Canis lupus familiaris: one gene and its partners. The protein of the gene in region 1 binds, or shares a complex with, the protein of each later gene. Links are inferred from orthologs where the notes say so. Each region holds a gene or a part of one and is shown in the gene's direction. Other genes may lie near its edges. The genes, in order: MED20, MED31 and MED13L.

The links.
Region 2: MED20 (region 1) and MED31 share a complex: the UniProt entries of both Homo sapiens proteins name them as parts of the mediator complex. The link is inferred for Canis lupus familiaris from reciprocal best matches to the Homo sapiens genes MED20 and MED31.
Region 3: MED20 (region 1) and MED13L share a complex: the UniProt entries of both Homo sapiens proteins name them as parts of the mediator complex. The link is inferred for Canis lupus familiaris from reciprocal best matches to the Homo sapiens genes MED20 and MED13L.

What each region holds. Positions count from the first base shown.
Region 1 is NC_049233.1:10,759,459-10,763,106, reverse strand, and holds part of MED20 (mediator of RNA polymerase II transcription subunit 20), read left to right. Parts: intron 1-1,080; exon of another isoform or gene 1,081-1,154; intron 1,155-1,371; exon of another isoform or gene 1,372-1,621; coding exon 1,622-1,875; exon of another isoform or gene 1,876-2,474; intron 2,475-3,540; coding exon 3,541-3,648. UniProt on the Homo sapiens protein: Component of the Mediator complex, a coactivator involved in the regulated transcription of nearly all RNA polymerase II-dependent genes.
Region 2 is NC_049226.1:30,892,240-30,895,987, forward strand, and holds the start of MED31 (mediator of RNA polymerase II transcription subunit 31), read left to right. Parts: upstream 1-1,118; 5' UTR 1,119-1,246; coding exon 1,247-1,274; intron 1,275-1,972; coding exon 1,973-2,050; intron 2,051-2,337; coding exon 2,338-2,434; intron 2,435-3,748. UniProt on the Homo sapiens protein: Component of the Mediator complex, a coactivator involved in the regulated transcription of nearly all RNA polymerase II-dependent genes.
Region 3 is NC_049247.1:13,128,764-13,132,411, reverse strand, and holds part of MED13L (mediator of RNA polymerase II transcription subunit 13-like), read left to right. Parts: intron 1-2,736; coding exon 2,737-2,916; intron 2,917-3,534; coding exon 3,535-3,648. UniProt on the Homo sapiens protein: Component of the Mediator complex, a coactivator involved in the regulated transcription of nearly all RNA polymerase II-dependent genes.

The sequences.
Region 1 (3,648 bases):
AGTTTGTGCTGATACAAAGATACTTCATTGTGATTTTAAAAATACTGTTGTCTACAAACAGTTGACAGTGCCTTCTTCATTAAAAAAACCTTAGTTGACTTTCAAAATGTTTTCAAGACAGTAAGAGCACCTGCAGACTCCTGTAGTATGAATTCGGTAATTACAGTGAGTTTGCACAAGAACAGAATGAATGATAGATCAGCTTTGGGTTGTTTGTTTTTCAGGGTTGAAATGTTTTGCTCTGGGTTTAGCAGGAGGTAAAAGGTACCCATTGGCACAAGTGGTCAGGAGGGATGTGGAGAAAGGTTGGTGCAGAGCCTGTTGAGTTCTGGAAGTAGCAGCAGAGTGGAGGCCTATGTAAAGGTCTCTCTGCCCCATCTCGTTTCCACTGTTAAGCTCTCATTCTTGCCTAGAATATCTTTCCTTTTCTATGTGGCCAAACCCTACCTTCTCTTTGTATCATAGTTCAGGTGCTATTTTCTCCACGAAAGTTTTTCCTATTGACTCTTGCACACTTTGATCCTTTCCTGCTCTGGTCTTTTCTTCCTTCCAAAAAGATTTCTGGTCTATCCCACATAAGCGTTTTGGTCTTACTATCTCCTTAATAGTTTTTTATTGTCTTATTGTCTCTAATGAGAGTGTCAGTTTCCTGAGGTCAGGTACTAAGTCTTCTACTTGCATGCCTCTTAAACCCTAGCACGATGTTTGGGATGATTAAGTACTTAGTAAATACTTTATAGCTAAGTCTTCATGAATACTTGGGATTGTGGTAGTGTATCCATTAATTCTTACAGTGTATAAACAGGGGATCTTGCTTTCTATTTCTCAGTTAACCAAATATATGTAGCTTTCCTTCTTGCAGTAAATCTCTAGTAGTAATCAATGAGAAAACTCATTTCTCAGAGACTGGAAAGATTGGATGGGGCTTGAAATGAGACCTTCTGATTCCAGATCCTGAGTTCTTTCTGTGAAAGTGCTGATTGCTTCCCAAGTCAGCTGATGCCTTATAGCACTCCAGGGGTTCATCATTACCTTCAGGGTAAAGTCCAGACTTCTTGAGGCATGGAAAATAAGTCTTACCATAGCTTCACTCTGGCCTTCCTTTCCAGCCTCAAGCTCAGATACTCCCCTTTGCTGCTTCTGTGGGGCCTCTTCTTTTATATCAGGAAGGAGGCCAAAGGAGAAAGGGAAGGACAGAGAAGAGAGCATTTGCTTCATTTTTGTATACTCAAATGCTTTTAATATTACTTCTTATTTTCCTTATTACATAACATAGGATTATACAGAAGACTATGGGAAGTCTCTGTGGGTGATTGATTGTCATCATTAAGCACCCATCTGTGGAGCCCATCATTCAAGAACTAAACTTACCAGTGCTATGGAAGTTCCCTTATGCTCCTCATATTTCCTGGGGAATGAGCTTTTACCACATACTGCCTTGCCCACTGCTCTTCTTCCTTCCTCTTTGTGGAACAGACTGTTGGTGAGGGGATTACCCTCCATTGCCCTCCAAGATGGCTGAGGTAGTGGCAGATTGCCATCTGGCCCTGTTCCATGCATTTGACTATTCCGAGGCTTGCCAACAAAGATCCTGATGCTGATAGGCTCTCTGTCCCTGTAGGTCAGGCCGGGAAACTGATGTACGTGATGCACAACTCAGAGTACCCTTTGAGCTGCTTCGCCCTTTTTGAGAATGGCCCTTGCCTTATTGCCGACACCAACTTCGATGTGCTCATGGTGAAGCTCAAGGGCTTTTTCCAGAGTGCCAAGGCCAGCAAGATTGAGACCCGGGGTACCCGTTACCAGTACTGTGATTTCCTAGTGAAGGTGGGCACAGTCACCATGGGGCCCAGTGCCCGAGGCATCTCTGTAGAGGTAAGACCTTGGGGGAAAAGGAGCAGTATATGCTGAAGGGCTGCTCAGCAGAGGGATTGGTGGATTTCCACGTCCCTCTGAGTGCAAACCGCTGTTGATGCCTTCCTGATCCTGTCCCCAGAGCATCTGTGCTTCTCTGTCTCTGCATCTTTTATCCTTTCTTTAGTCCTTCGGGCTCTGGCCCAGGGTGAGAGTGGGAAGCTGGGGTTGCAGTGGCAGAAAGCTTAGGAAGGCTGGCTTGCTGGAGGAGGGAAGGGATAGCCAAGGGAGACAGGTTGATTGTGATGTGGAGGAACTGGTCACCTGTCACAAGGACTGGAGCAAACCAGGGGGAGACAGTGTACAGGTAACTTTTGGGTGGTGGGCCCTAAATCATGTAACTACACCCCTCTCCATGGTATACTTTAAGATAGGTCTCAAAGGTTCTGTAGCAGAGATGAGCCTTTCCTTTTGATATGCTGTCAACTTTCTTTCATGGTGGAAAGAAGTTTGTGTGGTGATTCCATCTCTGAGGTATATGTTGGAGACCGCAAAGAGGGAGTGTGGCAGTAGCTGGCTTTGGAACCAGTGAAATTCCTCAGTCTGCTATGTGCCCAGCTCTGTGTGAGGAGAAAAAAAATTAGTAAGCTATAGGGCCTGCTTTTTGAAAATGTGTGATTGAGAAAATGAGTGAATCTGAAACACACCGACTGTTTTTTAAGTTAATTTTTAAGGCATTCCCAGGCACAAATTGCTTTGGGAATTTGGGCCAATGAGAGCACTGCTGACTTTGGGGATTGGGATGCTTTCTGCAGGAGTAGCATGTAAAGAGGGATTTATAATGTAGAGATGTGGGAATAGATGAGGCCCACAAAGCATTCCAGGTGGAGAAAAGGGCCTTAGTAGTGATTACTGCTCTGAAACTCCAGTGACCTCTGGGACCAAAGTTTCCTGACTTCTTTTGGCTTGTGATATACCTTGCATTAGCTGAGTCCCACTGGGAACCCACTGTCTGCTTATCCTTCACATTTCTAGCTTTTTTAGTACAGATACATCCCAGCTCTTTTTTACTTGTTTCTCCTTATGGTTACTAGTTATTTTTCTTGCCATCCCTCCAGTGAAAAACTAGGAAAAAGGAATGAGAAAGTCTAAGGTGTATCTCCTTTGGCCCCTGCCACATGGGTTGGGAAATTACTTCTTAGAGTTAGGTGGGGTCTATCTTGGGGGTAATGTTTGGTCTTAAAGAGACTTAGTGTCTACTTTTCTCTCTGGTCACACACACACACAAACACACATCCTTACTTTTCTCTCATTCTTCATTTTCTCTCTCAGACTTTTTCTAGCTCTCCTTCGATCTTAATGCAGCATAGTAGGGACTATACAGTTCTGAGATCATCAAAAGGGGCCTGTATCAAAAGGGGACTTTTGGTCTTGTGGGTTGGGCTGTAGGTTGATAACTCCTAAGATGAGATGAGAATGCCAGAGATGCCTAAAGGGAATAATGCTGGGTATATGGAATCCCAGGTGTTTGGGTTGAGTATTTCCTGTGGAGCAACACTGTGTTAAAAGGTGTTTGTCTTTGGTTTGGGGCTGGAGAATTTAGGAGCAGGGGGTAAGAGGTATAAGAGAAGCAGAAGACCTTGTCCTTGCCTCACTCACCCTTGTTCTATGTTCTTTTGGCCCTAGGTGGAGTATGGCCCCTGTGTGGTAGCTAGCGACTGCTGGAGCCTACTGCTCGAGTTCTTGCAGAGTTTTTTAGGCAGCCACACGCCAGGAGCCCCAGCAGTGTTTGGG
Region 2 (3,748 bases), on another chromosome or scaffold:
GTCCTCTCTCCTGTACCACGCTTGTCCCTCGCATAGCTCCAACAACGCTGGTCTTCTTTCTGTTCCAGAACATTCCAAGATTGCTCCCGTCCAGCCCTTGCGTTGCTGTCCCAGACCCCTGCACGGCTCACTGTCCACCCACACAAGCCTCAGATCCAAGTCCCCTAACCAAGGCCTTCCCTGACACTTCTGAGTGAGGAACCCCTCCCATTACCTGTTTCCTTCAGTTACTCATTGCGATAGAAAATGGTCTTTTCATCATTTGCCGTGTGCCCCTTCACCAGTGTGAGCTCCTGAGAGCCTGGGTCCTGCCTACCTTGTCCAAGTGCCCACAGAGGAGAGGCTCCATAAATAGTACTGCCCTCCCCGCCCTCTGCGAGACCCGGGCCGGGTTCCCTTCCGAGATCACGCCTCATGGTAGATGTTGACTTTTATCTAGTCTGACCTGTATGGAAATGTGTGTGACTGGGGGTGCCCGTACAGGGCACAGGGCTTAGCATAAACAAAATACCTGCTTGGTTTGAAACACAAAGGCCAACTGGTTAATTAATGGAGGTCTGTTTCTTGCCCCTCGGTTTCCGGCCGCGGTGTGATCCTCCCAGTGGTCACGGTTTGGGTTTGCTCCCTGTCCCCGAAGTCTGGATCGTGAGGGTGGTTGGAACAACAGCCTCCCTATCCATCAGCCCATCAGGCTGGCGGAGCGTCGCGGGCCTGCGGACCTCCAGTGCTGGCTTGCTGCAAGGGGGCTCCCGGGGTCAACGGTGCGGCCACCCGGCCGACGCGCGGCGGAGGGGGCTGGCCCAGTGCCGACCCCGCACCTGCCGCACCTGCCGCACCTGCCGCACCTGCCGCACCTGCCGCACCTGCCGCACCTGCCGCACCTGCGCTCGGGTCAAGGGGGGGGTCCCTGTGGGTTGGAACGGCCGCTGGGCGTTCTCCCGGCTGAGGACTGCCCCCGCGGGAGACCCCACCGAGGGGATGTAGGCGCTCCCGGAGGCGCTCGGGACCCCCGCGGCTACGTCACTGGGCGAGCAGAGAGGCGGGGACAGGACCCCTCCCGCGCTCGGAGCGCCCCAGCTCCGCCCCTCGCCCCTTGCGAGTCTGCGCGAGGCCGGTGGGCGGGGCCCGAGAGGACCGCCCCGCCCCGCATCCCACACTGCCCCGCGACAGGAAGTGGGGCCGCAGCTTCCGGGACCTCCGGGAAGCTGCTCGTCGTGCTGGTGACGTCTCGGCGCTTTTGCTGGCGATGGCCGCGGCCGTCGCTATGGAGACAGGTAGGTAGCGGCCGGAGCCCTGGCAAACACAGCTACAGCCGGCTGGCCTCCTCCTCCAGCTTCCCCCGGGACTCCTGTGTGGCGTGACTTCGGCGGGGCTCCTGTCCGCGGCTACCTCCTCCTCGCTTGCCGCGCAGACGCCGACCACCCCTCAGCCTCAACCCCTCCCGGGCCCCGACCCCGCGGCCTCCCGACCCATCCCAGGTCCTGGCCCTCCCAGCCTCCGGGCTCTGACACCCCCCTCCCCCGGGCCTCCCAAATCCTGCCGCCCCGAACCAGTCCCCCCTCCCCGCCAGGCCCTAGCGGGAGCACACTCGCCCCCTCCTCTTGCTTAGCTTGCAGCCCTCCGCCACTGGTCACCCTGGAGGTCCTGGGGAGTGGCTGCCAGAGGGTGAACATCCTGCCCAGGGGGCGCCCGCTTCCTCGGACTTCTCCTTAAGGAGTTACTGGTCTCATTAATCAGGGCCCTGCTCTCTAGACTTGGGAGGAAACGGCCCTCTCTTCCCACATCCAGCTTAGGACAGTCATCCCTGCCTTATGCCTTCAGAGATACTCTCAGCAATACTCAGAACACTCCACTGCTGTTTTCTTTCTACAAACCAGCACTTTAGATAGTCACCTTTATTTTGTTTTTTATTTATTTTATTTATTTTTTAGTCACCTTTACTTTGGATGATTTTTGCTCACTTCCCTCCTAGATGATGCCGGGAATCGACTTCGGTTTCAGTTGGAGCTGGAATTTGTGCAGTGCCTAGCCAACCCCAATTATCTTAACTGTAAGTCCTTGAGCTCTTACTGACTTGAGTAGCTGTTAGTGATCTCTGGCAGAAGAACTGCAGTTCCTAATGATACCTATTTTTATATGTTCTCAATCCAGTGGAATTAACTGCTACGCTTATACTGGTGTGTGTGAGAACAAATTGGGACTTATGTTCAGCATTTAGTGTGTGTTGGTGGTGGGGAAGTTATATAAGTAGATGCTTTATGTGAGGGGTCACAAATCAGTAGTCCGAGGATTGGTTTGCTCTACAGATTTTTTTGTTTGTTTGTTTATGCCTTTCAGTTCTTGCCCAAAGAGGTTACTTCAAAGACAAAGCTTTTGTTAATTATCTTAAGTACTTGCTTTACTGGAAAGAACCAGAATATGCCAAGTATCTAAAGTAAGTTTAATTTTTATAGTCCTAAATATGTGTATAGTTATTACATTAAAAATACTGATATTTGACAGATTTTCTCATTTCCCATTGGAAAAAAGTATATTTTGAATCTCTCCACTTCTTTCAGTTGCCTCCACCTTAATACAGAGCCACCCCCTCTCCAGCTTGGATTATTGCGGTGTCCACCCCCCTGCTTCTCCCTGCTTGTGCTCTTACCTTCCTTCTGTGTCCTCCCTCCCGCAAGCCAAACCAAGCAAAACAGTTTTCCACAGGGAAGCCAACTTGATCTTTCAAAAATGTAAATTATGACGTGGTATTTTCTTGCTTAAAACCTCCCAGTGGTTTCCCATTGCATGTGAAACAAAATCCTCTCTCTTTTCTCAGGTCTCTCTTTATCTATCTACCACTCACCCCATCTCACTGAATTTCTGACCCTAATGAACCCACAGTCTGTAGATGCAGTGGTATTACCTGAGGCTGAAGATTAAAGAACATCAGGTACTTGGAAGGTTTTCTGGAGGAGGTGACCTTACCTGACTCTTAATATAGGCATTCCTTGGATACTGTTGATGTGGTTCCAGGCCACTGCAATGTGGTGAATATTGCAATAAAGTGACCCAAGTTTTTGGGTTCTCTAGTGCGTATAAGGGTTGTTAACACTATAGCATTAAGTCAAGAAAGAGGTACATACCTTAATTTAAAAATATTGTTAAAAAACACTGTCATCTGAGGTTTTATGGAGTCTGATCACAGATCACCCTAACAAATACAATGATAAAGAAAAGTTTGAAATGTGAGAATTATCAAATAATGACAGACATAAAGTGAGCAAATGTAGTTGGAAAAATGGTACCCATAGACTTGCTTGCTGATGGGTTGCCACACGCCTTTAATTTTTAAACAAAAAGTCCAAAAAACAAACCCAAACCAGTGTGTCTATAGCTGCTGTGCCTCCTCTGTGCCAAGCATCACACTTGTTTCAACCTTGAACCCATCCCTCTTCTTTGTCTTCACTAGGTAGTCAGAAAGCAATAGTTGAACTTCTTGTCTTTCTTTTTTTTTTTTTTTTTTTTTTTCTTGTCTTTCTTTTAAACAAACACGTTTGATAGGAAAATGATTCAGACTTGTACTTTATCCAAGTCACTTTTTATTTTTTGTATTTTTATTTTTTTTCCAAGTCACTTTTTTGATTTGTGTCAACTGATTCACAAAACCCACATCCTTCTCCCTGCAGGACCCTGTACACCCTGACTGCTCCTTTATGAACAGCCACTTATTCATTGAATAATCCGGAGAAAAGCTTTTTCATTAGCTGTT
Region 3 (3,648 bases), on another chromosome or scaffold:
TTCTTTGTCTTTCCCCTTCTCTGTTCCCCCCCCCCCCCCAATAAATACATACATCTTCAAAGAACTGAAGGAAACTTGGAGCTGGCTAGATCCCCAAGAGCAATTTGAGACCTGCTGGGGCTGGGGTCTTTATCCCAAGAACCCTAATAAGTCATTGGTGGGTTTATGAAGAGGCATTGACATCTGATTTGTGTAAAGAAACCAGCTCTGAGTGCAGTGCGGACTGTGGATTTGGGAATAGCAGAATGGTGGAAAGACAAGGTTAGTGCAACTGCTCAAATGAGAAATAATAGCTGGTTTCTTATCTTAGCAAAGGGGATGGAAAAGAAGTAGAAACATAAGGTATGTTGAGGAAGTGGTAGGACTGCAGGGCTTAGTAGTGGGTTGGATTTCAGGGGTCAGAGCGAGATGTTAAGGAAGACACCCAGGTTTGTGATGTGTATACCTGGAGAGGTACTGATCATTCGAAGATAGGTGTACTGGAGGAAGGCTAGGTCTGGGGAGAAACTCTCCTAAGTTGAGTTTTGGAAATTTTAAAGATCTCTTCTTGAGATATCCAGGTAGAGATGTCAAGTAAACACTTGGGAGTTTATGGGCCTGCAGCTCAGGGGAAAGGGAGTAGTTGGCTTGTAGATAGTAAAGTCAGGCACAGAGGAGGAGGAAAGCTAGGATGACAAGATGGCTTGGGACAGAACTTTGCTGAATTCTGCTGTGTAACCAAGTTTTAAGAAAAAGAGTGGTCAGGAAGCATTAAAGCGCAGCTGAGCTTTTAAGAAGAGGATTAAGTATGTCTTTTGACCACAGTGAGGAGCTACTTCTGTAGACTACTTCACTAGAGGGATGGGAATAGGTTGGGCTGGAATGGTTGGTTACATGAATGAAACATGGAGCTTGCTCTGAACAGCTCTCAGCCTTGTAGGGGAGAAGGCTATATAAGCTTCTTAAATAACAGTTGGAAATCTAGAATGAGAAAGTATGCTTAGAGGACAGAGATCATTGGAGTGAGGGATGATAGGCACTTTTTTGAGTAGCCAGGCCCAGAGACTTCTCAGAGGTGGAGACTTGTAAGAAAGTATTCAAGGATTACACTCATTTCTGTAACTGCTGAGTTTTGAGCACTGTGCCTTGTACTTAGCAGGCCTCTAATTAATGTCTGCTGGATGCATTTATGAATTACAGAAAGTACAGTCTTCCCCTCTAAAGAAATGTGGGTGATTATCTTGGGCGGTTCCTTTTACTAGATAGTGGCCTTCAGACAGAAAAGCAGTGAGTGGGTGGATCAGTACTGTCATCTTTGGATATGAAAAATAGCAGATTTTATCGCAGGGGAGGTGTGGGTTCCAAAGTCAGAAGCTTAACAGTATCAGACAGATAATGTAAATGAGTGAATGATGCTGGAGCAGATTTGCAAACAGCAGTGCCCTCACTACATCTTTCCGTGCACACGTTCCATTCTGTGTGCACAGGAATAGCCACAAGGGATGATGTCTGCTTTTATTTTTCTCTAACCTGTGATTCTCTTTGTCTGTCATTTTCCAACTGTTGATAGAGCCATGGTTACAAGAAGTACTTTTTTCTTTACTATAGGAAAAAAAGAAGCCCAGGTTTGAAGGTACAGGTGATCATCCCTGCTTCCTTCTCAGGTAGGCAGCAGAGCTGAGTGAGGAGGGCCTCTGAAGGGGGCAGTTGCTCCTTGGCTTCAGCGCTGCTGCTTATGCAAGAATGGGGCCTGCTGCTTGCCAGGTCTCCCAGTTTGTCAAGAGATGCTGGAAATTTACATTAGCTACTGGTGTTTGATTTAGGGATCACCTAGAGGTGTCTTAAGCACCCTGTGTTTCTTTAGTTGGTAGATAAATCTTAGATTTCCATCCATGCCCCTTTCCTAATCAGCTAGAGAAGGAAAGGTCTTTAGGTACGCAGCTGTGCAAGTTCACAGCTGATCACCTCAAACTTAATTAGCTCTTTCTTCAGATCTCTTTGAGAATTCAGTGAGCATTACAGACCTGTCTCCCTGGGAAAGAATATGCACATGTTCGTGTGTGCACAATTTTGCAGTTTGAGAGGTTTTTTTCAAAGGTTCTATGTTAAGAGCCCCTCCTCTTAATAGGAAGGATGTTTCTTCTGAAACCTTGAATCCCACCTTCCTGTGTGGACAGCTGGCTTTCAGTACTGCTGTTGCTTTTGCCATGTTTTCTTGTGCCTCTGTCTGCCTGGAAGGTTATATTTCTCTCTGTGCACTTTGTATTTTGTGAAGATATTTTATATTACGAGCTTTTTTTAACAGTTGTGAAGAGCTTCTATTTAAGTTTTTCCTCCTACTCATTATTCATTCAAAACAGTGATATTTGTAAATAAAATAATAAATAAGAAACTTTTACAGCTCTCTTTTCCTATGAACAACCTTGGAAACAGGTTTGTATGATTTTAAAGAGTCAGGCTCATCTATCTTTTTACTTCTAATCTCCTATAGTTAACCTTTTATATATAGAGGAACCCATTTCTCCTTTTATTATTTCCACTAATAAATTATAAATTACTTTATAATAATAAGATAAGAAAATATCTTTTCTCTCCCCTGCTAGATCAAGCATTTTAGAATCTACTAAAAATAAAATCTACCACCAGTAATGTCTTTGTCACGGACTATAACTGAGGTCCAGAATGATGGCAGAGAGAAGAAGAGCATGCCGGTCCCCCTTTATGATCTCCATTCCTTTCATTTTCTTTCTTTTCCAGTGCTAGACATCAGCATGCTCTCCTCCCAAGATGTGGTCCGCATGCTGCTGTCCCTGCAGCCCTTTCTCCAAGACGCCATCCAAAAGAAGCGCACGGGCAGGACCTGGGAGAATATCCAGCATGTGCAGGGGCCGCTAACATGGCAGCAGTTCCACAAAATGGCGGGACGGGGCACCTATGGTAGAATCTCTTCCCTGTTTTAAATTTCTTCGTGATTTTTTTTGTTCCATAAAACCCAGCTTTAGTTACTGTCAAGTCCTTGCTTCACTGATAAAATAGAATCTTTTTCTTCATGGCTATTAAGGTTTATAATCTCTTTTCTTTCCTAAAGTCAGTTTGGAATTAAGTTTTCTAAGCATCCTTGGCAGAATCAAGGTCAATGAGGAAAATAATCCTTAAAGAGATTATTTGTTAGATTTTCCTCATTTTCCCGATCCTCATTGCATTTTCATCTGGATGAACATCTGAACTAGTTCTGTCAGCGTCTTCATAGTCAGGATTATAGTGCTTATTTTAAAGGAAATGGTGTAGTACTGCCTGGAAAACTAACTTTAACTTGTTCTCGTCTGCCTTCTGATCTTATTGGACCTTTATTAGAGCATTCTGACTCATTGAAATAAAGTTCTTCATCATGGGCCACGTAATTAGAGGGTTTGAAGAATACTTTTGAGAGTGATTCTGTTAACCTACAAGGAAATTTCTGATGCCAGAATTAAAACTAATGCAGCAAGAACTTCAAGGTCTCCAGCTTGTACAAAACAGACTCACGAGCCCTTCCTAATGGCCTTCTTGTTACAGGTTCAGAAGAATCTCCTGAGCCATTGCCCATTCCTACTCTGCTGGTAGGCTATGACAAGGACTTCCTCACCATCTCTCCATTCTCTTTGCCATTTTGGGAGAGGCTGTTGTTGG